4 linked regions of the Schizosaccharomyces pombe genome follow. Changing the gene in region 1 together with any one later gene gives a genetic interaction. Each region holds a gene or a part of one and is shown on either strand. Other genes may lie near its edges.

Region 1 (7,894 bases):
CTAAGTTGGATTGACGTTTAGAAATCGGGGTATAGAGGGGCTCTAGAACTAATGAGATTGAAGCAACGTATACCCCATCTCTTCAGTAACCCAAGATGCCAATATGACAAAAGAAGAACCGGGGCATGTTATTTCGGTTTATTAAATTAAAATAACGTGCTGAAAGAATACACTGTAATGAATAGTGAATAGCAACGATTCCACTGAAACATTTTTATACTAAATACACAGCTACAATATAGTCTATGGTGAGTAATGAATATGAGAGTGCTGGGAGGTACGGTATATAAGGAAGGTTGGAAAAAGTATAGAAATGAGTGCTGTTTTGTTGCTCAAGAGATGAAGATGCGTTTGTTTCCTTTTCATTTTGGAGTACCTTTTTGATTCTGTGGACCAACGCTTTGTTATGTTGAATGTCGAAGTGTTTCACTTAGAAAAAGAAACTACCTTTGTGGTTACAAGAAACAAACAAACTGCTTTTAACGCCTTTATTCTATGCTATTAAAAATTGAGTAAACCGTCTTTTTACTACTCATTTGTCTGTTGTACAATATTACGTACCCGATATTTACTCAGTACTTGAATGCGTCTGTTTGACGCAATGCCTCCTTACCTAACTTACCAAGCACCATTATCTTTGATCATTTTTCACAAAATGGTATTTGCAATTAGAATACGCCAGTTTCACACTACTCTCGTTTCTGCCGAAAAGAATGGATTACAGAAGTTGATCCCCCCTAGGCTGAAAACCATTTGGAATCAAATGTTGGTTGAAACAAAAGGTGCTGGTAATGGTCCTGAGCGCTTTGAGATGATTCGTCAAAAATACAAAGCTTTGACTGCCGATGAGATCCAAAAGTATAAAAACAAACTCCAGGAGCAGTTCGATGCTGAGAAAAAGCGTTTTATGGAGACTCTACGATCCTTTACACCTACAGAAATCGATAGTGAAAATCGTCGTCGCTCGAAGGAGGCTCACAGCACGGGCAGTCGCTATTACAGACTTCGTCATCCAGATGTTCCTAAAAAACCTTCTTCTGCTTTTATCCTCTTTTACAAGGAGCTTCGAAACAATCCCAAGCTACGTCAAGAGTTAGGTATTCCAGAAGCCATTTCCACACTCGTTGAAGAGACCCAAAATGCATCAAAGGCGTGGAAGGAATTGGCGGAAGACAAGAAAAAGCCATTTATTGATAAAAGCAAAGCACTTAAAGAGCAATACGATAAGTTTATGAAAGAAGCCGGATTTCGATGATGCACACTCTACTTGCCCAGATCTTTTTTTTCTATAGATTTCTTGAATCAATGAGTTTACGTTTTATTTTACTAGCATACATGCTTGAAATATAATAAATTTCGATGCCTACACTAAGTTTTCTTTCTGTCGTAGATTCCGCATTGACGAAAGCTTTATTGTCCCAAAGCTTTTTCCTTATGAGTGTTGCGCTTATTTGTAGTTTCTATTAATTTTAAATTGTATTTTGCATATAATAGTGCTTAATACTATGATTGCTTGATACCTTGAAATATCTAGTTAAGAGGATAGCATTAAGCGGGTAATAATTTTACACAAAGCTTGTTGGACTAATGAGCCAAATTGATCCATCCCCTTTTTTAACGTATAAGTACGTCTTTAGAAGCCTGTGTCCTGCGCATAAAAAATCTGAAAAGTAATTGTCAATTAAAAAATTTTCTCAAAAGTCAATTTTCTTTTTGTGAAACAAAGTACATAAAATTTCAAAAATGAATATCACAATTTGCACGCCCAATAAAAAAAATTATAAAGTTGGCATTGTTTGCACATTCCCCAGATAAAAATGAAATTAAGGATTTCAGTTTAGGCTGAGGCAGGAGGAAGAATTTCACCACGGTTGACAAGCAAAGCCTCCAAGACAGCAACAGTGGTCCATTTGCGGTTCTCTGCTTCTTGGAAAACTAAACTGTTCTCTCCATAAAATACCTCGTCAGACACTTCCTCGGGATGACGGGGTAAACAATGCATGAATTTGCAGCTAGGTTTGGCAAGCTTCATGATCTCTCCGGTGACTTGGAATCCTGTAAATTGTTTAAGACGTTGTTCCTTCTCAGCTTCTTGACCCATAGAAATCCAAGTGTCGGTAACGACGATATCAGCATTTTTAACAGCAACCTTGGGGTCGTTAACAATTTCAAAAGTAGAACCGTTTTCGTTCGCAGCTTCGTTAACGATTGATAAAATATCGTCGCGAACGTTGACGTCCTTGGGCTTAGCAACGCTAGTATGAATACCAACCTTGGCATTTGCAATCATCAAATCATGTAAAACGTTATTGGCATCACCTACCCATGCAACTTTTAAACCGTCAAAGCTTTTGAAAGTTTCCTTAATAGTGAGTAAATCTGCTAACGCCTGGAGAGGATGAAACGTGTCACAAAGACCATTAATAACAGGACAAGAGGCATGTTTAGCGAGCGTAGCAACATCTGAATATTTGTTTACGCGAGCAACAATACCAGAAACCATACTTGATATAACTTTTGAAGTATCGTATAAAGACTCATTCACTCCTAATTGGATATCATCTTTACCTAAAAACATGGCATTGCCGCCAAGGCAACTGACAGCACTTTCGACTGATACACGAGTACGAGTGCTACGCTTACTGAAGATCATGGCGACATTCTGAGACGACAAACCACTCATTTGAACAGAACGGCGATTCTGAAAATTCTGCTTATAAGCTTGTTTAATTTCAGAAGACCGATCGATCAACTTTACAATCTCTCCGCGACTAAGATCACGAATGGATAGTAAATGACGAGGAAATTTTTTGAAAGACATTTTCAATTGCAAACTGAATAATTCTTCTCGACTAAATATATCAAAAATACGGTTTTTGTAGTCGACTACAAGGAACCCACAAGTTACTGGTAATTTCTTAGATATTCAGGGTGAGATTGCATATAGCCGATATCTAGTTCTCTCTCAGACTGCGAGATTGGCGCCGTAATATATCGTATGCGGATTTTCGACGAGATGGAAAATTTTTACATTATCGTACACTAGAGTTCAGTTGCAAACAAGCTAGTACGTTGATGAAATATGATAAAACAAGTCAAAAATTAAAAACTACTCATAAACATTCTATTTCCTTTCTTTTTCTTATGTTATTCATGGTAATATTGATACAGAACGTCAGAATACTTATCAGCAATAGCTTTTAAATACCAAAATCGTTAATTGATTAGCAGTAAAAGAATATTCATGGGTTTAGCATTTAATTATAGAACTAATGAAAAGGGATGAATTTTTTTCGACCTTGTAATATTTTTTTTATTTACCACCCATTCTTTAAAGAACCAATACATTGTAAATAAAATGTATCTAAAAAACGTGTAGTTATTTTTTTTGTTTATTCAATTATCTCTTGACACTATATTCAAGCGAGCTGAAATAAAACCAATTGTGTTACTATATTGATAACTCAGCATGCTTGTGAAATCAACAACTACCATGAAATGAACAATGAGTTCACAGATTCGCTATATTACAAGCTTACACTTACAGTATTGCATAAAGCGAAACAAGTTTTAACGAAAGAGAAGGGCTTCTTGCCAAATTTTTTTTTTTTTTTTTTTTTTTTTTTTTTTTAACGAGATTATCTTAGATAATAAATTTTATGATAAGTGCTTTTGTCTCATCAGGGTCATTGGGACTATTCAACGCGAAATCAAATAGAAAACAAAATATTGTTTCAAAAGAATGCTTTCATGTATAAATCAAGATATTGAACTGGCTTGCATAGAAATAATGAATATTGTACTGTGTCAGTTAGGACTAGTATTAAATAATGTATATACAAATAGATTCATTGTCGGCAAATGAGTTGCTTTTACAGTGTCATTTATATAGCTTTAATTCATTAAATGTCCATGTCTCACGTTTGCAGCACTTTCATGTAAACTGTTGGTTTCCGATGTAATTTTCAGCCAACAAGTAACATTATCGATCTCATCTTTTTGAGTGATTATCTCCAGAGCAAATCCCTAGATACAGCAATCAAATTTTAACGAATTATAGCTACGTTTACGAAGCAAATGATTTTCCAATTTTGAAACCAACCAAACTGCCTTCTACCAACTACAGTAAATCATAGAATATCACTAGAATTTGGCAATGCTTATTGAATTGCAACAAATTGTCAAGTCCGGTCTTGTACGGAATGGAGCGAAACACTGTACGAAAAGGAGCTTACTATGTTCCAATGCATCAGTCATTGCAAGCAAACGTTTTCAAGGCAGTTTTGCCCCGGGTCAACAACAACCGTTAAACCCACTCGCGAAACCAATTGAACAAGATCGTGATGCCATCATTAGAATTCTTTCCTCCATCGGAAGCCGTCGTGAAGTTGAGCAATACCTACGATACTTTACTTCCTTCGAAGCTCAACGTTTCGCTATTATCAAGGTTGGTGGTGCCATTATCACCGACGAATTAGACACATTGGCACAAAGTCTTGCCTTTTTGAATCATGTGGGTCTTTATCCCATCGTTGTGCATGGCGCTGGTCCCCAATTAAACAAAATTCTTGCCAGCAGAAATGTTGAACCCGAGTATAGCGATGGTATTCGAATCACCGATGCCGAGACTCTTTCTGTAGCTCGTAAAGTTTTCTTAGAGGAAAATGCGAAACTTGTAGATGCTTTGGAAAAGTTGGGAACTCGTGCTCGTCCCATTACAGGTGGTGTATTTCAGGCAGAGTATCTCGACAAAGAAAAATACAAGTATGTTGGCAAGATTGTCAAGGTAAACAAAGCTCCTATTGAACACAGTATTCGTGCTGGAACCCTCCCTATTCTTACGTCTATGGCCGAAACTGCTTCTGGTCAATTGTTGAATGTCAACGCCGACATTACTGCTGGTGAGCTTGCTCGCGTATTGAAGCCTCTAAAGGTGGTCTATCTCAATGAAAAAGGTGGACTTATCAACGGTGAAACAAAGAAAAAAATTAGCAGCATCTATTTGGATAGGGAGTACGATGGCCTCATGAAGCAACCATGGGTCAAGTATGGTACGAAGCTCAAAATCAAAGAAATCAAAGAGTTACTTGATACTCTTCCCCGTACATCTTCCGTAGCCATTATTAGTACGAAGGATTTGCAAAAAGAGCTTTTTACGGAATCTGGCGCTGGTACTTTGATTAGTCGCGGTTTTGTCATCAACAAACATGACTCGTTGGATAGCATTCCAGACGCTGCTCTAGAAAATTTGATCATTCAAAAAAATTCTTTAGCCGCACCTAGTGAAAGCTTGAAACAGTTCAAGGATACTCTGAAAGACAGAAAACTTCGTATTTATAGTGACTCTTTCAATGAATCTGTTGCTATTGTCGACACCACCGACTCATCCTTGCCAGTACTCTTAGCTTTTGGTGCCGCCGACAATAATTGGTTAAACAATGTTGTTGATAGCATATTAACAACATTAAAAGCAGACTTCCCTTCTTTGCTATGGCGTCTTCAACCTTCAGCCAAGAATCTGGAATGGTTCTTCTCTAAAAGCGAAGGTACTTTGTTTGCTAATAATTTTTACTACTTTTGGTACGGTGTAAAAGATTTGAATAAAATCTCCAAGTTCATTCAGTCTGACAAGCCATTTGCCGATGCTATCATTCAGACCCAATCCACTAAACCCCCTACTGCTTCATCTACCACCAACAACCCTTCCTCTTCACAGATCAATCAAAAACGAAGTTACTCAACTAGTTCTTTATTTTCAAAAAACAAAAAAATGAATCGTTCTTTGTTTTTAAAGGGTGGAAAACGATTTTTTTCTGCTGAGGCTCAGAAGACCCAAAAACCTTTGAAGGCGGTCTCATCGAAGCCAGCAAAAGTCGTTCTCCTTGGAGCCCGTGGTTATACCGGAAAGAACTTGATTGGATTGATTAACACTCATCCTTATCTCGAATTATCTCATGTTTCTTCTCGTGAGTTGGAAGGCACCAAACTTCCTGGCTACACTAAGAAAGAAATTCAGTATGTCAACTTGTCCACAGATGATGTTAAAAAATTAGAGGAAGAGGGAGCGGTTGATGCTTGGGTCATGGCCCTACCCAACGGTGTATGCAAACCTTATGTCGATGCTTTAACGTCTGCAAATGGTAAAAGTGTCATTGTTGATTTAAGTGCGGACTACCGTTTTGAGCCCTCGTGGCAGTACGGTCTTCCTGAACTAAATGACCGTGAAGCTTTGCGTAACTCGAAACGTATTTCCAATCCTGGTTGTTACGCTACTGGATCGCAAGTCGGTTTAACTCCCATACTCTCTTTGATTGACGGCCAGCCCTCTATTTTTGGTGTATCTGGTTATTCTGGGGCTGGCACTAAGCCCTCTCCGAAGAATGACTTGAATGTATTGACAAACAATTTGATACCTTACTCATTAACTGATCACATCCATGAACGTGAAATTTCTTATCGTTTAAAGCAACCTGTCGCCTTTATTCCTCACGTTGCTCAATGGTTCCAAGGAATTACTTTAACTATTAATGTTCCGTTAAAGAAAAGTATAACTTCCCGTGAGCTTCGTAACTTATACCAAGACCGTTATAATGGTGAGCCTTTAATTCATGTTCAAGGAGATGTACCTTTGGTCAAGGACAACGCACACAAGCATCATGTTTCAGTTGGTGGTTTTGGTGTGCACTCTTCTGGAAAGCGTGCAGTCATTGTAGTTACTATCGACAATTTACTTAAAGGTGCTGCTACTCAAGCTCTCCAGAATCTCAATCTGTCCTGTGGTTACGATGAATATGCCGGTATCCATTTGGATTGATTATATTTTTTGTAGCCCATTCTTTTGTTATTTTTATTCTTTCTGTGTACCATTTGGATATTTTTTTGTTACAAATATTTTGAACTAAATGCATTAATCCTTGCTATTAAATAGCCAGCAGTAAGTCGCGTACGAGTACCATCTTAAGTTTCCACACATTTTAATTTAGTTCTTGTTCAGTTATACAAAATTCCTCTGTCTGTGCGTCGCAGACTCTTCAAAACTTATATAAACAGATTTGAAGTTGCTTTCTATGGTATAGATTTTCATCAACGAAATAATTTTTGTACGTAGAATAAAGTGGTAAATAGTTAAGCTTCAATAATCTTAATTGCGTATAAGTTTTATTTCTTTATTTAAAATTATATATGTTACTTAAAAAATAAGCCCAAAGTAATAAGAAATCTCTATCCTTGCATTACTAACGCTTCCTCCATAAGTATATTTTTGGGGAGGAATTTTGCTACCGTCCGCCATTATCAACTAAGTGAGTTCGATGGGGGTAAATACTGCCGGAGACCCTCAAAAAAGCCAACCCAAAATAAATAAAGGTGGAATTGGGAAGGATGAGAGTTTTGGAGCCCTCTTTAAACCTGTTTATAAGGGCAAAAAGCTTGCAGACCCTGTTCCCACCATTGAAGACAAATGGCAGCTTTTACCTGCATTTTTAAAGGTAAAAGGACTTGTTAAACAGCATTTAGACTCGTATAACTATTTTGTTGATGTTGATTTAAAAAAAATTGTACAAGCAAATGAAAAAGTCACTTCAGACGTTGAACCTTGGTTCTACTTAAAGTACTTGGATATTCGAGTAGGAGCGCCTGTTCGAACTGATGCTGATGCTATTCAAGCCTCAATTTCACCTCATGAATGCCGTTTACGTGATTTGACTTATGGTGCGAATATTTACGTTGATATTGAATATACGAGGGGCAAACAAGTTGTAAGAAGAAGAAATGTTCCTATTGGAAGGATGCCTGTAATGTTGCGAAGTAATAAATGTGTTTTATCTGGGAAAAATGAAATGGAGATGGCCGCTTTAAACGAATGCCCTTTGGATCCTGGTGGTTATTTCATTGT
Region 2 (8,380 bases), on another chromosome or scaffold:
GCAAACAGGTTATAATTGCTAGGAATATAACCAATTCCCGATTGGAAACTCGGTGGTACCAGCATTTTACTTGGAATCTGTAAGCTCAATCCAAGTGGTGTATCAATTTTTTTACGACCCATTACGGATATTTTAAATCTCTGAATTTGTATGATCAAATATTCAGGTAGTTTCGAAATCATAATTACTTTTTTTGCCGACCTTTGAACCTTGCACACGGGACAATGCCATCCATCATGCCCTTGCAAGAGTTCAGGAGCTGAAAATTTTAATAAGCATTCTTGTAGGCTTACTACATGGGAGACATCGTCAATCGGTATCGCAAGCGATGTGAAGGGAGCAAAAGTAGTAGATGTGCGGCCACATGTCATACATTGAGTACGACTGCAAAGTTGACCTACAAAATTGTTGACCACAATACTCTTGTTAGACCGGAGATGCAAGTTCCATTCAATGTGTGAAAAGTGGGACAATGGGAGTTCTTCTCTGGCACTTAATTGATCTTCCGTCAACGGTGCTATCGGAGACCGAGATGCATTGGAGTTCAAATCTTCATGAAGTTTATCAAGAAAGAAATTTAAAAATTCTTGAGCATCGCATTGGCCATCGATGGAGAAATCTCTATTCAATGACTGTACAATTTCTAAAAAATTCCTTGGAGATATTGATCTCTGACCATGGTTTAATAAGACACTTTGAAGCAAGGAAAAGAAAGCAGATGTGATTTTTCCACCGGTACCCAATGGATTTTTGGTATTGATATTTTGAAGCAATCCTCTCCCCTGTAACATAGGAATAGTCAAGTCCTTACACGCAAAAAGACATTGCAGGACACAATTCATGTAACAAGTATTACCCAAATTCGTTAAACCTATAGGCTGATAATTTTCATACGATAAAGAACTATCAACTTTCTTAGGGTTCGCCAATTCCATGAAATGAGGATCCAACTTCAACGAACGTAACATCGAGTAAAGCTTGTAAGCCAAAGAAACGTCTTCGAAGTATCTTTCCAAACTGTAACAAATAACCATGCTTGGATGAAAAGGTGCGGATTTTAAAAAGTCATATATTTTTGAAGAATCCATCGATTGCAAACAGGATATTGGGATGGCAATCGTGTGCTTCGAAAAAACATAACCCTTTGAAGACTCTTGGGAATAGAAATTAAGAAAAAGAACTTTAAGTGATGATTTTTTTGATAGGGAAAGAGCGTCAGAGATTTGAATTACAGGCAAATAATGCTTCACCGCTAATTTGCTTTTTATAGTAAAGGCTTTGGAAACGGCTTGAATTGCTAACTAAAAGGACATGTTAGTATTCAAGATTGTAACTTGAACAAAAAATAAATTAAGTTTGCTTCAAAGATCATAATTAGTACAGTCTCGTCAACTATATCAAATTTATCTGACGAGAAGGCTAGGGAGCTTTGAATACAAAATTTTCGTGTTTTGAGCATTAAAAAAAATACTATGTACAATGTCGATACCTTTTGGAACTGTTTGAATTCTCCATAATGAGTAGACTTAACAGAAATCTCGAATCGGCATGGAATTTCGTAAGCAAGTTTTAGTGCTTTTAAATAGTAATAGTATGCTTTGAGTAATGAATTTTTTTGTTCAAGAGTTTGGGCCTCAAAACTGTTAGTAATTGAAGCACATTACTATAAACGGCACGGAAAAATTAGACATACCTCTTCAAGCCAGCGTTGTCCTCTGAAGGAACAGCTTTGAATCGTTTCATCTTCATTAATATAAACGAATGCTAATTCAAATAGTCTGTCGAAATAATCATCGGACATCCGAGGAAGAACCGAGTATTTGTGTTGGCGACTTAACCTGAATTGAACCAAATACTACAAGACTATAGCCTTTTTTGGTTATTATGGTTTCAATTGAAGCTATGAAGGATTCAAATTGGGACTTGCAGATACAAGTATTCCGGCGAAGGCTTAATCCGGAAGTTATGTAAGTACTAAGCAGGTTAGCTGTGGGTTAGTTAATGTAAACATCTTTATTAACTAGTACCAGAGAGGCAAGAAATGAGATTTTCTTATCCTTGCCCAGTGATCATGGATTGATTACTTTAGTTATAAATAAAGATAAACCGTTTCAAATATCGGTATTACTTGAAAAAAATCAAGAGTTCATGCAAACGGCAATGAATAAGTACGTTGAAACGGCATTTCAAAATCAGAAAACAACTTTGACAAGTTTATTTAATTATTTGTTACAAAATTGGAAATCATTTGAGACATGCAATACAAAAGAGCGTGAGTTGATGGTTCAACAAGTCGATTCTAAGAAACCAGAAACCCCAACTGACTTAGAGCCGTTGGCAAATAAGCTTGAAGGACCTCTATCAGAGAGGGTTCATTTGAACACTACACTTGACTATGAAGTACTGCGTGGTCAAAATCACTGTCAAAAGCAGAATACTACCCAAACAAAAACTACCATCTCTGGCTCTGAACAGTTATTCAATGATGAAAAGCCAAAAAAAATTATTTATTCAAAAGGAGGAAACGATGGGAAAGAAGATGATCTACAAAATGTTAATGAACCACAGGATGCTTACAGTAACGATCATGACATTCAGAGCAAAGACACAGAGCTTCTGGGTAACGAATACTGCTTAGAATGGAAGAATCCGCATTTAACTAATGTCGGTACTCTCAAAGCACCAATTTTACGTTTGGTCATAAAGTGTGTTCGGTGCCATTATGGAAGTGAAATTTCTATTGCTACAAAATTTTCTCTTGTTTGCAATAAGTGTAGTAATACTCTAAGATTAGTTTGGGTGCCTGGTGTGATTCACCCAAATAATGCCCGTTTAGGTATCCTCCATACTTTAGGATGTGTACCGGTTGACGTGATGCCCATTGACTGTCAGGTCTCTTGTATGGAATGTGTTGATGAGCAGATAACATCCTTTAAAGGTATTTCTTCCATGCAGCCCATGCTACAGTTTTGTAAAGTATGCAAAAACAGAATCTTGGTTGAACATCAAGATACCGAATTTCATTTGTTAAAACAACGACAAAGTTCAATGGGCGGGAAGGTGAGCGCAAAAAAGAAGCAAAAACAAAACTTAAACATTACGAAAGGATTGCCACTTCCCAATAATGGTGCTTGCGAACATTACAAAAAATCATTCAGATGTAAGTCGTTTATAAAATTCATAATTAACAATCAGGGTTTCGTTTTTCATGTTGTGATCGTGTTTATCCATGTGATGAATGTCATGACGCTGATCAAAATCATACATTTGAGCATGCTAATCGAATAATATGTGGGTACTGTGCCATGGAATCTTTCTACAAAAAGGATGCAACTTGCCCCCATTGTGGAAATATGACTGTGAAAAAACAAACCAGTGCCTACTGGGAGGGAGGAAAAGGAATGCGCGATCGCGTTCGCATGAGTAGGAAGGATCCAAGGAAGTACAAAAGGAAGCATCACGGTAATTAATTGGGTTGCATGACATCCATATTTTTTTGCTTCATTAGATACCCATATTGTATAAAAATTTAATGAATAACAAGTAGTTAATCTTTTGATAGAAGATACTTTTAAAGTCTTCGTATTTAACCAAAATAATTATCCTTCATCATCACTCACTTCATAATTGACGAGAGAAACCGAATTATCTTCAAGGATTTTCTCTCCCTTTAAATTTTCTGTAGGAAATTTCCTTTGCTCGCTCCTTAGCTTCTCGGAAGGGACAAATTTTCGAGCAAAAGGATCTTTTTTTGCGAATGAAGTCTCAGCAAACTTTGCAAAAGTCGAAAATGTTCTAGAAGAGGGCATTAATGTTCTTCTATAATCTAATTTCCTTATAAATTTATTCTTTCCTAATTCGTTATCTAGCAACAATAATGCCTTATCCTTGTCAGAAGAAGAGGGTGGTAATATATCAATGTCCAACGCTGCACGGTTTTTGAGAGATAGATCTTTAGCTTCTTGCTTTTTTTCAATTTTTTTCCTTTCCTAAGTTATGGGTTAGTTAATATGAAAATTTTAACGCAAAACAAATTCTTCTTACCCGAAACTGTTTTCGCAGCCTCTGAGAAGAAACGAAAGGATCCGACCAAAGCCTTTCATTTTTCTCATATATAAAGTTTATTACAGAACTATTATGCTTTTCTGACTTTTGCTGAGTTAATTGGGTTTCCAGCGCTTCAATTGCATCAGACGGCACCTTTTCGTCGTTTTCAGCTTTTGCAGGACGTTCATTGATGTCTTGAGGTTCAATTTTCCTTCTGCCTCCAGAAGCAACGATGTATTCTGTATTCTATTTATGTCAGTAACAAATTTGTTAAATTAATCAAACCAGTACCTTAGGATCCGTATGTACATCGATAGGGTTTGAGCATAAATGACATTTTAAGCTGAATGACCATATTTTCGTAGTATAGTATGAGCCAATCTCTTTTTTAACAGCATTGAATCTAGTGCCTTGTTGAATGATATTTTCACAATTGTTGCACCACACTGGAAATGGCATTTCAAACCGAATTACATTTCGTAATTTATCAAATTTTCTTTTAGCATTCGGCCCTTCCGGGGGAATATATTTCCCCATATTAAATCCTTGCATTTTTAGTGAGTATATAGCTCTTTATGCCCAAAATCAGTAGTTCCTAAGTTAATACTACGTCTAGGTGAAGTTCAGGCTAAATCAGTGGCATGCAACAGAAACATAATTATAACTCTTAGTTAATTCATGGCTTTTCAACAAACAATTTTAAATTACGTTTGCTAAATTGACGTTAAAATAATAAGGGTTCCATTCTACAGTTTCAAACGGACAAGGTAAACATGTACAAATAAATAAATTACATGACGATTATTTGAATTCATTTCTTATAAATTAATAGAAAATTATAAATGACATAAAAAGGTATCGATGAATTATTAAACACTTGATGATATTTTTAGGTTGCTTCAACGGGGACGTTCAATTTCTTGGCCAAGTCTAAGAAGCTTTTCGTGTAGCTATAAAATTTCGGCCTTTTGCATAATGATAAGACAATCAAAAATGTCTGCTGAGTAGGGAAAGGACCGTTATGCGACATCCTTTTAATGGTATTTAAGCATTCAGCTGCTTGGCCCTGCTGAACAAGGTTACGTAGCTTCTCATGATATACTTGAAGATTTAAATCAAATTTGTGACTTTCCTCAAAATACTTCCAATACCTTGCTAACAAATCACCGTTTTGTATTTGACGAATGACCTGTAATGCTGTAACCAAACTTCTTGAAGTACAATCGCAATATGGGGGTAAAGGATAACGCAAGTTGGAATCTTCGAAAATCTGATATTCCAATCCCATCACTTTTGTAAGAATATTTAACCCCACGTTTCTCACTTGAGGCGAGTTGCTAGTAGCCAGAAGTTTCACAAAGGAACAAATAAGACTTTCATCAACTGCTATTCCTTTCTTTTGGCATTCAAGGACAAAATAATTCCAAAGATTCGTCCCCATCTTTAACACTTCTTCACGTTGTTCCGGATTGAACATAGAAAAGTCGTTCAAAAGTCGAAGAATTTGAGATCCACTATAGAAATCCAATGTTTGTTTGATGGATGGAATAATCATTGACACCAATACCATACTTTTAAGCTTTAGACTACACTTGGATATAATTCGTATGTGATGCAAATTGGATGTGACATTATTAGACTCCTTGAGAGCACTAGCTGTTACCTTTTCACTATATTCACGTAGTTTAGAAAAATTTCCTTGCTTATTCTTTTCAATAGCATCGCAAAATCCCTTTAGAAGAATGGAGTATGTATGATCGCTAGGTTTTTGTTGGCGCTTTTTCATATCATTGTACAAAGACCAAGCAGCGTTGTAATGCCCTTTAGCTAAATGATATTGTAGTACAAGGTTATAGGCAACCGTCTTCTTGGCATTTGATCTCTCGTACAGTAAATGCAATGCTTTCTCTAAAGACTCTTTTTGAAGTAACGAAGATACATTTTTAGCCAGTTTGAAACCATCGTTTCTTATTAAGGATGACTTAGTTTTTTTATTTCGAAACTCATTTAGATTGTTGACTTGCTCCTTGAATTTCAAAGCATCAGCGATTAAAAGGCGCTTTCGTACTAATTTCCGCGCATTACTTACTGAAACACTATACGTGGTTGCAAATTCCCGCAAGCAGAAGCGGTTTAGGAGCAAATCGACAAAGGCCCTTCGCGGAAATGTCCTTTTAATGAATTGCATTAAACAAACCACTAGTTTATTCAAGTTTAGGATTAAAACCGCGTTAGTAGGAAGTAAGTTATAAAATATGAGTTGTTACGAATGAAGACACTACATCATTAGTTCAACCATCGTCTTATGTACAACGTTGAGTAAAAGTGCTGTTTGACGAGGTAAAATTACTATATGCACACAAAAGATTGCAAAAATGAGTTAACAAAGCTAATTACAATGAAAGTAACTACTAGCGATGAATTTACTAATAACACCTAATGACCAAAACAACTAAATCTACTTGTTGTAAATTATTTTGTCAAAGCTAGGAAAGATATGGTTATTTTTAACATCTACACCAAATTAAAGCATCTTTCTAACGAGAGAGTTAATATGCTCATCACGCTTGCCAGCATCACCACCTTCGATGAAATGCTTGAACTTGCGATCTCTCCAGCCACCCAAGGGAGAAGAAAGTTGGAAGGGCCAGATGAAGTTGGCAGCTTGCTTGAAGTTGGGACCGACGGTGTAAATTTCGTGAATCAAATCCTCGATAGACAAGATAGAGTACTTGCCCAAAGCAGCTTCGATGATAGCATTGTCAGAAAGAGCAATGCGTTGTTTGTTGACCTTACCAAAACCACGCTTGTAAAGGAGCTCACGAACAGTCTTGAGGTTAGGAATACCATAAGTAACATAAGGTTCAACGACTTGAAGCATTTCTTTGGTAGCCTTGTTAAATTTAACAAAGACACCGTTGTTGATTTGAATAAGACGGAGTAATTGCATGATCTTACGGGCCTTGGGAGGAATGTTGTTGATACCACGAATACGGATGACAAAGACCAACTTGGTTTCGTCAGGGACGTAGTAGTTGCCCTCAGCACGAGCCTTGCGACCGAGTTCGATTTGCTCACGTTCGGCCTTGCGGTACTCAGCATCGTAAGATTCGGCGCGCTTTGCAATGAGCTCACGCTTCTTTTGTTGAGCCTAAACATAACAGTTAATACAGTAGAAATTTTGTGAAATTAGAATGGATGTAATTTAGATGGAAAGAAATAAATAAAGAGAAAAGTAGAAAAACAGTAATCAGTCCCGAAAGATGGTAAATTGTGGAACGCGCACAGCCTAAGCTAGCTATCCGAAATTTGTTGTCATCATCTTGTTTTTCATATTTCTCAATTATCTGCTTTATTATTGCTTATAAAAATAAAGCAATCATAAAAAATTCCATGACAGGCTAAAGCGTTTGACTAATTTTTGGGAGGTGAAAACCCTTGCAAACCGATCAAAATGAATGTGGGAGGGTTCTATCTAGATGAAAAAACACAATCTGTAGTGTACTTTATAGATAAACTCTTCATCATTCAAAAGATTTCTGTACTTTATTCAATCCATCCAAAGACAAATATCCATAGACAAAACACTTACAGCTTTCTTCTCGGCAGCGGCAGCAACACGCTGTTCACGAGACTGCTCTTGGGTCTTCTTCTTCTTCAAAAGAGACTCAGGAGCAAAGATTTGCTCCTTTGAGGGGACCGTTGACGATGCTACAGCCATGATGGTGGATGTCTGGTGGTAAAGTTGGTAAGAAAAGACTAGTGGTCAACTTTTCCCATGAGCAGTCACAAAAGTTTCGACACAAATTTGTGACTGTTCCTTTAGTTTACACAGGAAGAAGCCCAAAACAAAAGAGATATCGCAGTTACCAAAAACTAACCACGAAAAATGGCTACTAACGTTGGCCCTCAAATCCGTTCCGGTGAGCTTGTTTTCGGCGTTGCTCACATCTTCGCCTCCTTTAATGATACATTCGTTCACATCACTGATTTGACCGGCAAGGAAACCATTGTTCGTGTCACCGGTGGTATGAAGGTCAAGACTGATCGTGATGAGTCTTCTCCTTACGCTGCTATGTTAGCCGCCCAAGACGCTGCTGCTAAGTGCAAGGAAGTTGGTATCACTGCTCTTCACATCAAGATCCGTGCTACTGGTGGTACTGCTACCAAGACCCCTGGTCCTGGTGCTCAAGCTGCCCTTCGTGCCTTGGCCCGTGCTGGTATGCGTATTGGCCGTATTGAGGATGTTACTCCCATCCCCACTGATTCTACTCGTAGAAAGGGTGGTCGTCGTGGTCGCAGACTTTAAGTGTGCTGTCGTATCTGCCAGTGT
Region 3 (8,342 bases), on another chromosome or scaffold:
ATGATTATATGATTGTGAAATATACGCTTAATTTTTCATTATAACTCTGTCAGTATTGCTAGGGTTTTGGACACAATCATAGCTTAAGTAAAACATTGCACTATTAGTGTCATTCTTTGAAATTTGTAAGCTAAGCAAGCACATATATTTACCTTATTTATCAAGAAAAATAACATGCCAATAGGAATAAATAGATTAAGAGACGAAGGTTTTGAGAAGAATAGTAGCAAACCACCTAACTGATTTTTATTTCTACTTAAAAGTTCATAGAATTATGTGAATAAGAAATTAATCTAGAATTCTTATAATTGATTTTCATGGAAAGATCTCCCTCCCCCCAACTAGTAGACTTTGCTGCTAAATGCTTTGTTTACACACTTACCACCGACTTCTCCAATAACACCAACCGTATAAAAGCACCATAAGTCTCCTACTTGGAATCAGTAAAACAATTAATGGATTCGAATTACAATTATGTTCATATGAATAAACCGGGAGTAGTTTTGTTTGCCTCGGATTGGCTAAAAGATAGACTTCCAGTTGACGATGTCGAAGTGCGAGTAGAACACTTACCACCTGTTACAGAAGATGAGATGACTATTCAACATTCTAGTGCAAATCTAATCTTAATGAAAAACAAACAGCTTAGGCATGAACCGGCTTGGAAAGATTTGGAACTCGAAGATTTAGTTAATGCCTTTGCATTCATTCAAGGCTCTTCAAATGCCGAGGGTAAAAATACAATTGAAGATAATTTTGAAACAGATCCTTTCAAATCAGTCAAAGAAGCTCCAATGGCTCCTTTTCTTGAAGCGAACAGAAGGCATCAAGGAGAGCACGCTAGTATGCGGTATTTTAGATGATATACCTGAGGTTGTACGAACCAACAGTCGTTAATCCATTTCGGCTGTGAAAACTTAAATAAAGTCTACTCAAAAGTCATTGTATGTACACTTGTCCTAAAACGTGTACATTGACTTTGAAGTTTTTTATCGATCGATTCCACACTGATTATAGATTATCCAAACTTGCTATATCATTCTTTGATCAGAAAAAGAACAAGATGGCAGATTCGATACCCGTTAAGAAAAAAGGCTCAGCTAAAGGCCCTCCTTCGTTCGTAACGCCTGAATACATAGAGAAACAACGCCAAAAAAAACTTGAGAAAATGGGTATGAAAAAAAATTTTCGTTCATCTAGTCGAGCAACAATAAGAAGGTTGTTGTGAAACTTTTTTTAAGACCGAATCTCTACTCCTTTGTTTAATTTTTTGTTGCTCAATTTTATTAACTGATTATTAGCTAAGAAGGCTGCTCGAAAACCTATTGCTCCACCAAGCAATGCTCCACCCGAATTCAATACGGACTTTATAAAGCGTGAAATGCTCTCCATCCCTAATTATGCACCGTTTGAAACTGAAAAGTCTGCATTGGATATTACTATTATGACTTACAACGTACTTGCTCAGACAAATATTCGTCGTTCAATGTTTCCACACAGTGGTGAGGCATTAAAATGGAAAAATCGCTCACGAATGCTCGCTAATGAATTAACCTATTATTCACCAACTTTGGGATGTATGCAAGAAGTTGATGCTGAATTTGTTCCTAATTTCTACAAGAAGTTATTAGGTGGATTGGGTTATGAATTGCATTTCATAAAAGGTGAAGGTAAAACTCATGGAATTATGATTTTTTGGAAATCCTCTTTGTTCAAAAAGGTGCAAGATTTGACTATTTATTACGATGATCATGATGAATTACCAGGTAGAATGAACACCAAGAACATCGGTTGTTGTGTACGCCTTGAAAGGGTAGATGACCCGAGCAGAGGGTTGTTCTTGGCTACTACACATTTATTTTGGCATCCTTACGGCTCTTACGAAAGGTTACGCCAAGGTGCAATATTGGTAAAGGAAGTAAACAAGATGGCACAAAGTCATCCTTCTTGGCCTGTTTTTATAGCTGGTGACTTCAACACTGAACCGTTCGATACCAACTTTCCTGCGCTAACTACCCGCCCTCTATCCATCTGCCAAAGGGCTACTGACATTATAGAACGTAGTATGAATTACGTATTTGGGGAATCTGAGTTGGAAGAAAAAAATGCTAGTACTAAGACAGAAAATGATTCCAATGAAGATGACAAAGAAGAATGTCAATCCTCTTCTACCTCAAGTGTTCCCGAATCCACAGCTTCTACCCCAAAAAAGAGAATTTTGCATGTACAAAATGACTATGTACCTCACTACCGTTCTTTTTATCAGCAGCACGAGCAAAATCCCGTACTTTTCAGTCTTTATTCAGTGGGCTATAAACTGGTTCACCCAGAAAATGCAAAAAATACGTTTGATCATCCAGCATTTACCAATTGGGCTCATGCTTACCAGGGCCATTTGGACTACATATTTGTTATGAATCGTGATACCTCACTTCAAACTCCCGAAAATCAAGTCGTTGAAGGTATAAAATTAAAGGCACTGTTACGTGTGCCTTTACCCAGTGAGATGAAGGAAGCGGAGCCTTTAGAAGGAAGATATCCCAGCGACCACGTTGCTTTGATGGCAAATGTACAAATTGTTTAAATACTTATTTTATTATACGGTACACACAAGGTATGGTAAATCAATAAATAAAATTTCATTGTTGTTTATCCATTTAAAAATGCCAACGGCAAACATGTAACTTTGGTGTTTTCGCTTACTAAAAGCACACCCGTAAGCAGAAAAATTTAAGACAATTGAGGAATAGTCTCACCTTTCGTTGTGTCGATGATTCCTTCTTCGATACTCAACATACCAGTACTGCTGAGCTTTTCCACAACTTCTTCTGCATTTTCAACTGCCATTTTTCCAAGAACTACATTAATCTTGTCTAAATCATTGGTCATAAGAGCTTTTTGGAGGTTAGGAGGAAAAGACTCAAAAGCTGCACGAGCTTTTTGTGTCTCTGGATCAGTAGAACCTGCCTCCGGGATGGTGATGGAAAGTTTCGTATTAGGATCAACTGCACAGAGCTGGATTTGTTCTACTCCTTCACCGCTTTCAGCTTGTTCTTTGCTGATGGCAGCAGAACGTTCATGGATTCGGACATATGTATTATGAACATCCTCTAAAAATAGCCGCTGAGATTGGTGATTTGGGTCTTTAATTTTTTGAAAAAATATTGATAAACCATTTGGTCCAAGCTGTCTGCAATAGCTGATCAAAAGGGCTTGATGAACATATTGTTTTGCTAAGGACGGCTTCCCTTCTAGTTCAGCATTAAAGGCTTCCAAAAGAATAGCATCAGATTCTTCCTCATCTGCCAAGATATTTAAATGTTCTTTCAAAAACTCTTCCGATGAAGAATAATCACCAAAATCAATATTGGCAAACTTCTTACCATCTTCAGAAAGAGACAACCCTTCTTCATCTTCCGACTCATTCTCATTGACAGGATTTTTAGGGGCATTACCAGTAGAAGCTTGCTCTTTAGCGCCGGGAAAATCAGTAGGAGGTGTAGGGTTATTAAGAGATTCAATGACCTGGATGGTCTCCTTTTTGGTTTTAGTCTTTTTAGGTTTTTCAGGCTCCTTTTTCTGAACATAGGTGGAATCAAAGCCCAAATGCAAGTCTTCAGAAGTGATGTAATTTTTACTCTCAGCCTCTAAAGTATCATACTCCTTTTGTGCATCTTCTAGCAACTTCAGAAGACGCTCTTTGTGTGACTTTAATCGTCTCAAGCATTTATCCGAATCATCCATAGATTTTTCTTCGGTAGTGTCTTCGGCATCTTTAATTACTTTTAATAAAGACATAAGCATATGATGATACGACATGCCTCCAGGAATGGCACTATCCATATCTTCAGACTTTTTTGCCTCTAAAAATGAACCCAATAAAACATAAGGATCCGAAGGAGATTCCTTCTCAAGAACAGTCTCCATTTCGGAGATGCGAGACAAGAGTCTACGATTCATCGCCATTGCACCTTTGATATCTTCCATTTTTTGCTTTCTAACAGCCCGTTTTTCGTGGATATCACGTTGGCGCCATCTAATAAAAGACTTTTTATCGACATTTGGATGAACTGCATGTGGTTAATTTAATATGAATACAACCCGTAACAAACCTTCAATGTCACTAAATGTTGTTAGCATGAATTTATCAAAACGAAAAATAAATGAAGAAGGAAAAGAAAGGAATGTTTTGACAATGGTTGTTTATTAGCTAAAAGAACCCAATTGGCATCAAATATACAAACTGCAAATTAATGATTGCCTTTTTGAACCCAACATGTCCTTCAAAATGATAAAAAGATGAGTCTGAATTTTATTTTTGAATTTATTCCATCCTACTAATGAAATTTCATTTCGACTTCTTTTATTGTACTCCAATCAAAGGCATCATGTAGAGTATTTAACCATTGTCCTTACAGAGCCGATTTCCTCTCCAAACCGTATATTTCATACCTGTCATCACTAAGTTCTAGCTTATCCCTGTCAATTCTGTTAACTTCATATTCGCCTACTTAAAAACAAACTTATCAATAAACTTACCACTTGCTGTAATCAATTGCCATCTCGAAGCAAATTATAATTTCAAGAAATTTAAAAAAAGTAAAAGACACAAATGTCTTTGCTATTCTCGTCGATTTGACTTGTTGTAGAGAAGTGGTTGTGTTAAGGTAAATGAAATCTTAGTATGTACCAAAGCACCTACCTTATGCGAATGTAGAGTACTTCGTGGAAATTCTATCGAAACTACTAATACCGTAGAGAAGAGAAAATTTGATAGAACGAATACTAATAAAAAGTATATATTAAATAATTTATTTGTACATACTTTGCGCACCTTTTGTTGCCAAAAGCCTGTGTAAACCCCGTTTCGAAAAGATTCCGTTCATTTCCTTTGAAAGGCACATTCATGGATGGATCCAATACGTTTTGGACTTTCGAGAGTACCATTCGCTCACTGCTACAATAAACGCGTAATATTTCGAGCAAACTATTTAGTACCGTTGACTTGGTTGAAAAACAACGTGGCTTACAAAAGTACGAATACTCTATTACTTCCCACGCCAAATGCAGAATATTATAGTACCAGTAAGTTATCTTCACAGGTTAATGTGAGCCTAAACTCGTTATCTCAAAAGGCCTCAAGTGGTTCTAAGATATATCCTTTTAAAAATAGTTTTCCGTTACCTTTTTCTAGATCTATTCTTCCTATACGATCACTTGCTTTTTTAAAGTTGTGTGTGCGACATAATTCTACAGTTCCATCAAAAGATGAGCAAGCACAGGATATCTCAAAAATAAATACAAATGGTACATTACAAACACCAAACAAGAAAGTCAATGTTTTTCGTCTCTTCACACTAGCAAGGGGTCAGGGATGGAATTTTTTTATTGCTGGATCTCTTCTCTTAGTTTCCTCCGGCGTTACAATGTCCATTCCCTACATTGTTGGCAAAATCTTAGACGCTGGCTCGTCAGGCGATTCTTCTGTCACGCATATCATGGGAATTCCTTCTGGTACGTTTTATATTGGTTTGTTGGGTTTATTTTTCCTTGGTTCAGCTTGTAACTTTGGTAGAATCATCACCTTGCGTCTACTGAGTGAAAGAATTGTCAGTCGTCTTCGAGCACGCTTGTTTGCTAAATGCATGTCATTAGATGGAGCATTTTTTGACTTTCATAAACATGGGGATCTCATATCCCGTCTTACGACGGATTCGAGTATTGTCGGTAAGTCTTTATCAATGTACTTAAGTGATGGTCTTCGTAGCTCAGTTAGTGCAATTGCTGGAATAGGGATGATGCTCTACGTATCCATGAGACTCACTGGATATATGTCCCTAATTGTACCCCCAATTGCATTGGGAGCTTTCTTTTATGGAGAGTATGTTCGGAAACTTTCCAGGACTACACAAGATGCTCTCGGTGATTTAACAAGGGTTTCAGAAGAGAAACTCGCAAATGTTCGGACTACACAGGCTTTTCTAGGAGAAAGACAAGAAGTAAATCGTTACAACGATTACATTCGAAATCTCTTTGTCCTGGCAAAGCGAGAGGCTTTTGCTAGCGGTATTTTCTTCGGGTCAACAGGGTTCCTTGGGAACGCAACTGTAATCGCTATTCTTGCGTTAGGCGGAAGAATGGTTGCTGCAGGTGATATAACTGTAGGACAGCTAAGTTCATTTTTGCTGTATACCGTTTATGCCGGTGGAAGCATTGTTGGCTTATCAGGATGTTTTACTGATATTATGAAAGGTCTGGGAGCTGCTAGTCGGTTATTTGAACTTTTAGATGCTAAACCGAAGATAGCTCCAACCGTTGGGATTCCCGTTCCAGTCACAGTCGGAAAGGCAATACTTTCGTTCAGAAATGTTGGGTTTGCATACCCAACTCGTCCTTCAGCTTCAATATTTGATAACTTATCTTTCGACATTCATCCAGGCACCAATGTTGCTATAGTCGCACCTAGTGGCGGTGGAAAATCCACCATCTCACAGCTCCTTTTGCGCTTTTACGCACCTAGTAGTGGGAAAATATTAGCTGACGGAGTTGACATCTCTACATATAATGTTCATCAATGGCGCAGTCATTTTGGTTTAGTTGGACAAGAACCGGTTTTATTTTCTGGTACAATTGGCGAAAATATTGCTTACGGTAAATCTAACGCATCTCAAGAGGAAATCGAAGATGCTGCCAAACGAGCGAATTGTAGTTTTGTGCTTTCTTTCCCGGAGAAATGGTCTACGCAAGTCGGGACTCGTGGTTTACAACTAAGCGGGGGACAAAAACAACGCATTGCAATTGCTAGGGCACTTCTTCGAAATCCAGCATTTTTAATTTTGGATGAAGCTACTTCAGCATTAGACGGTGAAGCAGAAGTAATGGTGGATAAAACGATTCAATCTTTGATGCATAATCGTAGTATGACTACCATTACGATTGCTCACAAATTGGCTACTATTCGCCGAGCTGATCAAATAATTGTTGTTGGAGACGGGAAAGTTTTGGAGCAAGGGTCTTTTGAACGATTGTCTCGTCCTGGTACCAACTTTTACAAGTTAATGAGATGGCAGCTTGGAAAAGTTGAACCTTGATCGTAAACGTGAAGTATCTCTTGTTCGTTTTATTAATTTATTCATGCGTACTCTCAAGACGCAATTTTCAATCATATCTTTAAATACATCGGTACTCTATTCTTTTTTTTCTTCGCTGGCATATAAGATTAGCAAATTAATAATATTCAGTTCCGTAATTAGTTTGGCATTTAAAGAAAGGGCTGCGGAAATTGTTCCTTTAAGCAATATCAACTGAGAAGAAACTGTAAAATCTAAAACCCCAATAGCAAACTTAAGTTTGAAAGGAGCAAATATTAAAAGAGAGAGAATATATATTAATTGCACAAAATTCGTTACGCTTGTAAATCTCGACAATGAAAAATCGTCCAGTAGTTTATGCGGCAAATGGAAGTGAAGCTAGATACAAATCACATTAAATGAAATAACTACAGTACGGACGTTCAGTATTTGCTACAACGGTAAAAGGTTCAAGTATTTTTAAATAATTTTAGAAATCATATTAAAGGGTGGAAAGTCGACAAAATCAACAAGCATAAAAAGCGGTAAGCAGTACACCAAGAGACGGCATACCGTTATGAAACGCAATATAAGGGAAGGACGAATAAACAGACATACCCTAAATATCAAAGCACAGATCCAAGAAAAAGTATAGTTACAAATCTGTAGTAGGTAGACAAAGAATTTTATATGAGAACTGAATACTTAAAAAAGTATAAATTATAAAAAAAATTCTTAGTCAGATATTATTTTAAACACTGCTAATTGTGTCAAAAGGAAGGGTAGTGTGCAAGCATTGAAAGCAAAAAGGATTGGAGAGCTTTATCTCTAAGAAGAAGAGGATACAGTTGTGCCGGCAGCACCAGGAGCATTGCTATCTTTTGCAAGGCTGATGAGAAGTTCACGAAAGCGTTCTGTAGAGCGGCCATGAGCCTCAGGCTTATCGGATAAATCAATAAGCTTCAGGATACGCTCCCAGCTCGTAGTTCCAGTAGATTTGCTTTCATTTTCTTCCAACAGTTTTTCTTGTTCTTTTCTCGACTTGGCAATGACTTTATCTCTCTTATCATTAAAATTCTCATAAAAATCATCAATAGCCTTGCGGGCCTTCTCGATATTAGATTCGCGCAACTTTTTGGAAGACTCATCTCTTTCTTGGATCCTTTTCATTTGATCCTCTTTCCACTTGCGAACGGGTTCGGGGTCACCGCTTTCGTCTTCAGGGGGATGAACTTCGGCTTGACCCATGTAAGGAGCTTTCGGAGCGGAAAA
Region 4 (8,445 bases), 1.5 Mb from region 1:
TATTTATCTTAATATCTGTTGCGTCGATATCGGCCGCCAGAACCTCTAGAGGAGTAGTTGGAGTATCTGTCCGGAGATGGTTTTCGCCTTGATGAGGAAGGATAGTTGCTACTGTGAGGATGGTTACTAGGAGGTCTTGAGGCATTATAGTTCGTAGAGGCTCCATTCCCATAACTCGATGTAGGATTATGAGTAGGTTGTGCATGCGTCATACCAGCACTCGATGTAATATTAGGGGAATTCGCTGGACTTTCACTTTCACGTCTAGAAGATGAAGGATTGTTATTTACATACGCATTAGGTGTAGCTGCACCTGAATGAACACCACCACCAGATGTATGTGTAGTATTATAGTTTGAAGATGCATGGACTGGAAAATTGCGCGAGTACCCCATATCCTCTTGTGGGCCTCCAATAGGCGGAGGAATAGGCATAAATGGAGGAAATCCAGAAGCCATCATAGCTTGAAACTCGGCAGGTGATGGTACGTTGCCAGAAGGTAAAGGACCCGGGATCTGAGCAAGACTTGCCATAAATTTTTGGGGGCTAAAGTCGTCACGCAAAGTCGTTTGTTTGGCACAGTAAGCAGCCCATGTAAATTCATCAAATCCATAGTTAAAATAATCTGAGATATCTGCACCAGGCTTGCGCCATGGTTTATCATCAAAAGACTCCAAATCAATCTCAAAAATGTTTTTACCATCAATTGTAGGAACAGCGTCAATGTCAACTTTAGGTGCAGTTTCTGCTGTCGATAAATCTTGGGGTTCTGTAGTTTTTACTTCGACAGCAGTTTTCTCTACTTGAGGTTTAGCAGAAGGTCGGGTTGAACCTAATGTTGCAATCGATCCACTAACATTATTAGTATAATCTGAAATCAATTATTTTGGTTTACATACCCTAATGGTTCTGCTCTTTCACCTGGCTTTGTTTCAATGATAAATTCAATATCCTACAAAATTAGCAGTTAGCAGTATCATTTTAATTGAAATCTTACTGAATCATCGCTTTCTTCACTTGCTTGCTCTGGTGACTTGGCATTTGACACTGTAACTCCATCATTCCGTTCCTCTATGGTTTCTCCATATAAATATTCATCCTCATCAACATCCATGTGCTGATCAGCATTTGACATAGTAAAAACCCACTTCTAAAATGTATATGGGGCAAGTCCATTCATTGACTGAGTCTCGCACCTGAAATTATGGATTCCTTCTTCTTTACCACTTAGGGCCATTAGTCCACTAAACATTGTACCGAGTTGTACGGTATATACTAGTGGACTTCATAGCGTACTTCATTTACCTGGGTAAAAATATTTTGCGCTAAAACGGGTTGAAACAGACCAACACTCGTGAAAGCCAACTTAGTGAGCCACATTGTAGTTAACACTAACAATTGAATTTGCTCTGCGAACACAGCAGTATTTGACTATACGATACCCTGAAAGCTAGTTCAATTTGAAACTTTAGATAACTAATCTTTTCCATCTTTGCTTAATTATAATATTAATCATTGATTGTGATTCTACAATTACCCTTTTTAGAAAAGATAACCTGAGTGGTTTTTCATGATAATCTTTGCATGGTATTTACACTAGGGACATTCGTGTATTAATACTTTAAGCAATGTTCGGGTTAAATAAAACACCCTCATTTGGGTCCACAGGAACCCAAAACCAAAGTATGTTTCTTTAGGTGAACAAGTCTTCAAGTTTACTTTTCGAATTTTGTGCTTATTCATATATTAACCTTTTCAGATACTGGTACTTCTGCAGGCACAGGACTTTTTTCTTCTAATACTTTTGGTAACAATACGCAGGCCAATACGCCCGCTTCGACTGGGTTTGGAGGCGTAACAGGAGGAGCTTTTGGTCAAACAAAACCTCAAACTGGTGGAAGCTTGTTTGGAAATAAGCCAAACGCTACATCTACTACCCCCGGCCTAAATTTGTTTGGACAAAACCCTCAAGCGGCACCTGGTGGCAGCCTGTTTGGAGCTTCCACTACTAAACCTCAAGCACCTGGTGGTTTGTTCAATCAGAATCAAACACAAGCACAACCTGCTCAAGCAGCCCCTACTGGAGGATTATTTGGATTATCTGGTCAAAATCAAACACAATCGCAAACACAGCCTGCTCAAGCAAATACTTCTCTTTTCGGACAGTCTAACATCGGAACTACAGGAGGTCTATTTGATCAAAACCGCCCTAATACTTCGACTTTTGGTCAATTTTCTACACAACCAGCTTCCGCTGGCCTTTTTGGTCAATCCACACAACCGTCTGGTTCAACTGGTTTTGGTTTAAGCAATAATACTCAAACTACTCCATTCTTTTCTGCAGCTCAGCAGCAACCGTCAACAACGTAAGTTAATTATTAAATTTTTTTTTCATTAACAAAAAAACAGGCAACTCCCTTCTAATCCAGCTATTAATGCAACGACGAGATACTCGAGCTTAAACGCTAATACTCAAAAATTTTTAGATGACTTAGAGTATGTGTTACCTTATGTACAAAATTTGTTCTAATCATGTCCGTAGCAAAGAAATTTTTAGCCAAATCCAACTTGCAGAGGAACTACAAACTAAGTTGGGGACTGTTTCCGAATTGGTTGAATCCGTCCCTAATGATGTCGCTGAAGTACAGAGAGTGAGTTATTTCCTTCTATTATCTCCAAGTTTTATTTGTTTCTAACTAAAATAAAGCGTTTATCTTCTGTCTCGACTGCACTTTTAATTGATTCCGACGAAATTGAAACTACGAAGCGTGTAGTTGACGAAGATACTTCGAATGCTCGCATTAGTTCACGTATTTTGGACGTTTTTAAAACACCTGGCGCAACCTATCCCTTCGCGTCAAACGATCCCCTAATGAACTACTTTGAGCAATTTACAGAAAACGCTAAGAAACGTACAGATCTGTATGCTGCCACTATTGGTGAACTTGAACAACATTTGGAGCAAGTTGAGACTACGCCACAGAATAATAGTCCCGAGGGTATGCCTTTAATTTGTAAAACTTGTATTAACTATCTAGCATTACTGAAAACTATCAAAGAGGAGCACAAATTATTCATGGCTCTTAGTAATAGATTTGCTCAAGTTCACGATGAAGTAAAGCGTCTACAAGTGAACACTTCAACGTCCTTGCCCTTTATAAGTTAATAGCGATCATTAAAGGGACTTCATAATCCTTAACATCATAAAAAAAATAAATAGATAAAAATCTCTAAAGTAGACAAATTCTCCTTAGATTAGAGTTTTCCGAACTTGTTGCATCCATGTAGTGCTTCGTGCTCCCGAAATGCTACATCTTGTATTAAAATCAATGTCCAGCATATGATAAATCGTATCTCTTGAGTTCATCGGTAAAGATTCTATCAATTGGCTTTTCGTGTTAGGGTCATTTCGTTGAGTAACGTATAAATTAAAACGTTTATCCGATGTATGCGGCACTTTCCATGGAAATCTCTTTAAAGCAATACAACAGTAAACAATTGCACAAGACCAAACATCTACAGCGCTCGGATCATATGGTTTCTGAGTAAGAACTTCGGGAGCAACATATGGTTTTGAACCGACTACACCATCAGACATCAGAGTGGTTGATTCAAATGGATAATGAAAAACAAAAGCAGTACCAAAATCAATAATCTTAACATTTAAATTTTCATCGAGCATAATATTATCTAATTTTATATCACGATGAGCAATGCCAAGGGAATGCATATAAGCCACGCCATCTAACAATTGAAAAAACATTTGATCAGCTTTTAAAGCAGAGCAATGACCTTTGGTAATAAAGGTAAAAAGATCATAAGGAACATACTCAATTATTTGTAAAATAGTATGCCTTTTGTATATAATGTCTAATACCTTGATGATATTGGGATGCCTGAGTGTCGACGCAAAAGTGTACTCTGCAATGAAATAACGTACATACCTGCGCAGTAATGAGGTATCTAATGGAGGACGAAATACTTTGGCAACGTAAATTGGCAATTTGTTTCGATCATTAATGACCCGAATGAAAGAGCTCGCTCCCTCCCCAATGACATTATTTAACTTTCCATAAGGTGTATCAGTTACGGAACATTCCGGGTTTACAACTCTCTTTCTTGATCTCGGGTTGATTCTCTTAAAGATGCTAGCATTGCTACCAGTTACTTTGTGTTTCAGCAATTTTCGAAGATCAGAAGTATGATTGTAGCAAGCAATAGGCGCCAGAGCGAAGCCGGAGTTCCGTTTTTTTATAAAATTGTCGTTTCCGTTCGGAAGGATATTAATTCTGATCTTCATCTTATCATACATGCTACTATAAAATGATTTAGACTTCTTTTTAAAGTGAAACTGAGGTGGGATATCGTTTGGATCAGAAGATGGATTTTTTCGATAAAGTCTGCTATATGGATTACCACCATTTATGCCATCATTAAGGGTAGCAAATTTCGATTCTGTGGAAGATGACTCTTCCGACATAGATGTTAAAGTGCTTGATAGTGATGAGTGAGTAGTCGATAATTCCTGTAAGCTATGAGCATGATCGAGAAGGTAATCAGATTTATCGCTCTCTTCACTCTCAATGGAGTTGGTAAATGAAATCACAAAGTTTTCGGGTAAAGTTGTAGATGCCGTTAATAATAAGCTACTTCGAGAATATTTAATGTAGGGGTATGAACGGACGGGCTTTAAGTAATTCGAAATAACTTGATCATCCTGTTTATTCTAATATCATTAGTTAGCGTACACCATATTTGAATATTTAGAAAAATAAGGATTTTTTTCTATTCTTTTTTTTAAAGAAAAAAAGATAACTAAAAAAATTAAAGGCAGAAAACATACCGAGGTTAATTCCAATGAATCTGTGCAAAATAAATTATTAGAGTTCTCTTCCGTGATCACAGCCATTGCTCTAAGAATTGTGATTGTAAAAGCTTCTTTCCAAAAAAAAAGTAAAAAAGATATATTAATGAATTAAGTGATAATTAAGGAGAATAAATAAAACGAATCCAGAAATTAAGTGAAACCGATTATAATGACGGGAAAGAAAATCAAACAAATACCGCTTCCCTGATAATGACTGACAAGAAATAAAATAAACACCGCAAATAAGTAAACAACCAAAAAAATTGTAATCGCGCAATGTCTATGCAATACAAGCAAAATAAAAAAATGTTTAACTAAAACGAAGCGAAACGATTATGCATCCCAATGTCGATCCTGATCGCAAAAAAAATTGGTAACGACAATTCCCAATTTAGTAATGTTTATATAGCAAATCTCACGAGCCGAATAGGTTCATCTAATAAATGTCCGAGGAGATAAACCGGAGTTGGTTCGATGAGGAAATTAATGTGAATAAAATATGGTTCCACGTTTCGATATATATTAACGTCGAAAGCAAATACCGTAGAATGCCGGACTGCGTTGTTTTTTTTAAAAATTCATAAACTCCAATGCCAAAATGTTCTATAGAATCGGCAAACTAAAATTTAAGATCGAATTGAACATAAAAACGAAGCGTATTTATATACTGATTGCAGGTCCTTTGCTTGAATCCTATCAATAAATTGTATGATGCTATCTCGTCAAAAAAGTAATGGCTTTATAATAGTGTGGTTATCATTTTGTGAAAACATTACGCCATTAACTGCTTATTTATTTACGCTCCGATTTTTGCAGATTCCTATCCTAACGATCTTTATGATGCTTGTTATTAAATATATTTAGTCATCACCAGCAATTGCTTACTTGATAGTGGAGACGTTAAGGCGAGATAAGGTAGGTGTGTATTTGTAAGACTAAGCATATCGTTTTCCTTATGTAATTAATATTTCGTACTGGCAGCATATAAATTTGTTACCATTTTGAAGGCTGACTAACCACAAAACATTGGTTTTTGCAAGCTATGAATGCTTTGATTACCTAATTCGTTCAATAGAAAAATTTGTACTTCTTAATAGCTTGGATTTTTTATATCGTTCAATGTTATTGTGGGGAGTATCGAAAATCGCACACCAATGTTTCCGTATTAGTTTGAAAGAACTACGTTAACTAGATTCGGTTTTCGTAAATTAGTTTTAAAAAATATCATTAAATGGAAGTTTTTAAAATATCAATAGAGATTTGTTGTTTCAATATTTGGTATTAAGCATAATAAGTTTAACTGCACTCCAGTTGATGGGTACGACGAAACCTATCGAGTAACTTTCGATAAAGTATACACGTTTGTCACGCGTCGAGAGCGGTATTTTCAATTATTCTTATCCGACTGAATTTAATTAACTCAACTCGCTACTTCTTATTTTGAGTTGAGCGCACATAAGCTATTTTTTGAGCTACTAATTTAATAGATTGCTATAACGAAATTCAGCGGTGTCCTTGTGCATTTCATTTATCACGATTGTTTGAGGTTCGGTATTCGTGTAATTTTTAATGCCATGTATATTATACATGGACGACACTAGTTGTCTCATTGACTTGCCAACATCTCTGCAATTTAATAAACATATTTTGCCCACTCGAACGAAGCCTGTCGTGAAGCCATATTTACTCCCCGAAAAATCAACTTCGGATTATGAAAACAGTGGCAAAGGCACTGTAGGGCAAGTACTGCAAAGCCTTCAGCGAGTTCGTCGTGCTTTACAGTTGCGCAGTTTGGATGACAATCAATCAACCGATAAATCACACCATGTTCAATTTCAAGATATCGTATACAGGTCAAATACTAGTGCATCAGAAATCCATTTTCAAGCTGAAAATGCTCCTTTAGTGCAATGGTACTCAGACATTTTCAAAGTACTAGTTAAAGCACCGGTTATACAGTTTGAGGATCAGTGCTTGCAATGGTTGAAAATGTTGAATACTATTCCACCGTCATATTCATTTATAACTATAAAGTCTAAAGATACAGTTGAACTTGGATTGGAAGAGATTTATCAACAATGTGTCCAAAATGATGGAGCGTCCGCTATAAAATTAAAGCTGAAGGGATCAAAGGTTATTACTGAATCGTCTGAAACTAATTGTAGGGATTCAATTTACTACATCCCTGCTCGTTCCTCTTTTATTATGGGTGACGTGGAGAAAACTGCGCAAATCCTTTTAGAAGCAATTGATGGCCATCTAGAAAAACCCAAATGCATAATTATAGACCCTCCATGGCCGAATAAATCTGTAGCTAGGAGCTCTGTCTATAAGGTGAACAGGAACCTTGGATATTTAAAAGCATTACCAATTCAGGAATCGTTAAGCAAAACCGGCGTCGTGGCAGTTTGGTGCACAAATAAGGAAAAGTATGTAAATTTTGTTAAAAAAGTGCTTTTTAAAAAATGGAATTTAACGCTTGTCTCTACATGGACATGGCTTAAAATAACGGCATTTGGCGAACCATTATTTGATGTTTATTCAAACATGCGCAAACCTTGGGAACAGCTTTTGATTGGAGTTACTTCAGAATATACATCTGTATATAGTGATAAAATCCCTCCAACGTTTACAATAATTGGTATTCCAGATTATCATTCCAGGAAACCATCATTAAAACCTTTCATTTCACGTTGGTTTAATTGTTCGGCAAATGAATCGCTTCCTGTTTTAGAAATTTTTGGCCGTAGTCTCACACCTAATTGGATTACATGGGGGAGGGAACCTTTGTTGTTTATGCATGAATTATACTGGTCATCAGACAATTGATGGAAAATGCTACATTGTTCGTATTGTGGTAAATTTTTGACCATGGTTTAAATGTTGTTTTATTTTTTCTTCCATTCTCTGTTTAAGATATCTCAGATCACGAATTACTACTGAAAGACGTAGAATAAATCAATACGTTTTAACGTTACCTGATGGTTTATGAGTAAACTACTTTATGCTATAAGAGCTCAAACTCATTCACTGTAGTATAACTTTATTAGGAAAAGCTCACTACTAATGTTCCTAAAATACTAAACTACCAAAGATACAATTTTTTTATAAAAAACCACTTTCGACTTTTTATTGCTAAAAGCTCAAACGGCGTGATGAGAAAAAAACTATTGCGAAGGTTTTACTTTTAAATTTTCTTAATATACCATAGGTCGACATCGTTTTGTTTTTCTACTGATATTCTTATGATGAGCTGTTGATATGTTTACTGGCTTTACCAAGCTTTCATTGACTAATGTATTAAGCACAAATCGGCTGCTATCCCTTCATTACCGATATCCTAAGTACTGTGTTATGTAGATACCGATGCTGAAAAATTACGTAAACCAAAATAACAATATTTAATCATAGATGGCGTTGTGTTTTTAAAACAGGTTGCGTCATACATGAAACTTTTATATTTGCTCAGAGAAAAAAAGAAAATATTCTCCTTTACAAGTTAGTTGGTAAGCAATATAAATCTTTAATTTTGTATCAAGTAGACCGCTCATAAAATGCCTTGGTTCGAAGACCGAAAA

What was found.
Region 2: mutations in arg3 (region 1) and saf4 together harm fitness more than expected from each alone (negative genetic interaction), as found in Schizosaccharomyces pombe (one large-scale study listed by BioGRID).
Region 3: mutations in arg3 (region 1) and cdc37 together harm fitness more than expected from each alone (negative genetic interaction), as found in Schizosaccharomyces pombe (one large-scale study listed by BioGRID).
Region 4: mutations in arg3 (region 1) and ppk8 together harm fitness less than expected from each alone (positive genetic interaction), as found in Schizosaccharomyces pombe (one large-scale study listed by BioGRID).

What each region holds. Positions count from the first base shown.
Region 1 is NC_003424.3:2,268,939-2,276,832, reverse strand, and holds arg3 (ornithine carbamoyltransferase Arg3), read right to left. Parts: upstream 2,913-7,894; 5' UTR 2,822-2,912; coding exon 1,838-2,821; 3' UTR 1,317-1,837; downstream 1-1,316. Other genes in the region: cmb1 (cytosine-mismatch-binding protein 1), read left to right, coding at 656-1,255; arg11 (N-acetyl-gamma-glutamyl-phosphate reductase/acetylglutamate kinase), read left to right, coding at 4,157-6,814; DNA-directed RNA polymerase III complex subunit Rpc2, read left to right, coding at 7,311-7,894. UniProt on the Schizosaccharomyces pombe protein: Ornithine carbamoyltransferase involved in the synthesis of arginine from glutamate via ornithine and the urea cycle.
Region 2 is NC_003423.3:1,784,448-1,792,827, forward strand, and holds saf4 (splicing-associated factor Saf4), read right to left. Parts: upstream 4,600-8,380; coding exon 4,339-4,599; exon of another isoform or gene 4,294-4,338; coding exon 4,045-4,293; exon of another isoform or gene 3,990-4,044; coding exon 3,600-3,989; 3' UTR 3,471-3,599; coding exon of another isoform or gene 3,196-3,470; 3' UTR 3,161-3,195; downstream 1-3,160. Other genes in the region: ubiquitin hydrolase Ubp4, read right to left, coding at 1-1,301, 1,490-1,633, 1,694-1,801; SPOM_SPBC18H10.09 (zf-CHY type zinc finger protein), read left to right, coding at 1,885-1,967, 2,031-3,160, 3,196-3,470; PPR repeat-containing protein Ppr2, read right to left, coding at 4,937-6,235; RNase MRP subunit, ribosomal protein L7-like Rpl701, read right to left, coding at 6,572-7,198, 7,640-7,768; rps1402 (40S ribosomal protein uS11), read left to right, coding at 7,937-8,356.
Region 3 is NC_003423.3:1,827,409-1,835,750, reverse strand, and holds cdc37 (Hsp90 co-chaperone Cdc37), read right to left. Parts: upstream 4,665-8,342; 5' UTR 4,563-4,664; coding exon 4,540-4,562; intron 4,480-4,539; coding exon 4,453-4,479; intron 4,376-4,452; exon of another isoform or gene 4,124-4,375; coding exon 4,113-4,123; exon of another isoform or gene 4,071-4,112; coding exon 2,731-4,070; 3' UTR 2,621-2,730; downstream 1-2,620. Other genes in the region: anaphase-promoting complex TPR lobe accessory factor Apc13, read left to right, coding at 456-863; SPOM_SPBC9B6.11C (CCR4/nocturin family endoribonuclease), read left to right, coding at 947-1,172, 1,302-2,584; mdl1 (peptide-transporting ATPase), read left to right, coding at 4,911-7,091; clathrin light chain Clc1, read right to left, coding at 7,899-8,342. UniProt on the Schizosaccharomyces pombe protein: Co-chaperone that binds to numerous kinases and promotes their interaction with the Hsp90 complex, resulting in stabilization and promotion of their activity.
Region 4 is NC_003424.3:746,394-754,838, reverse strand, and holds ppk8 (serine/threonine protein kinase Ppk8), read right to left. Parts: upstream 5,358-8,445; 5' UTR 4,910-5,357; coding exon 4,844-4,909; intron 4,727-4,843; coding exon 3,251-4,726; 3' UTR 3,167-3,250; coding exon of another isoform or gene 3,039-3,166; 3' UTR 3,000-3,038; downstream 1-2,999. Other genes in the region: iss1 (fip1-like pre-mRNA polyadenylation factor), read right to left, coding at 9-852, 900-952, 998-1,135; nucleoporin Nup45, read left to right, coding at 1,629-1,683, 1,760-2,366, 2,410-2,496, 2,543-2,651, 2,708-2,999, 3,039-3,166; ime4 (mRNA (2'-O-methyladenosine-N(6)-)-methyltransferase), read left to right, coding at 6,437-7,696.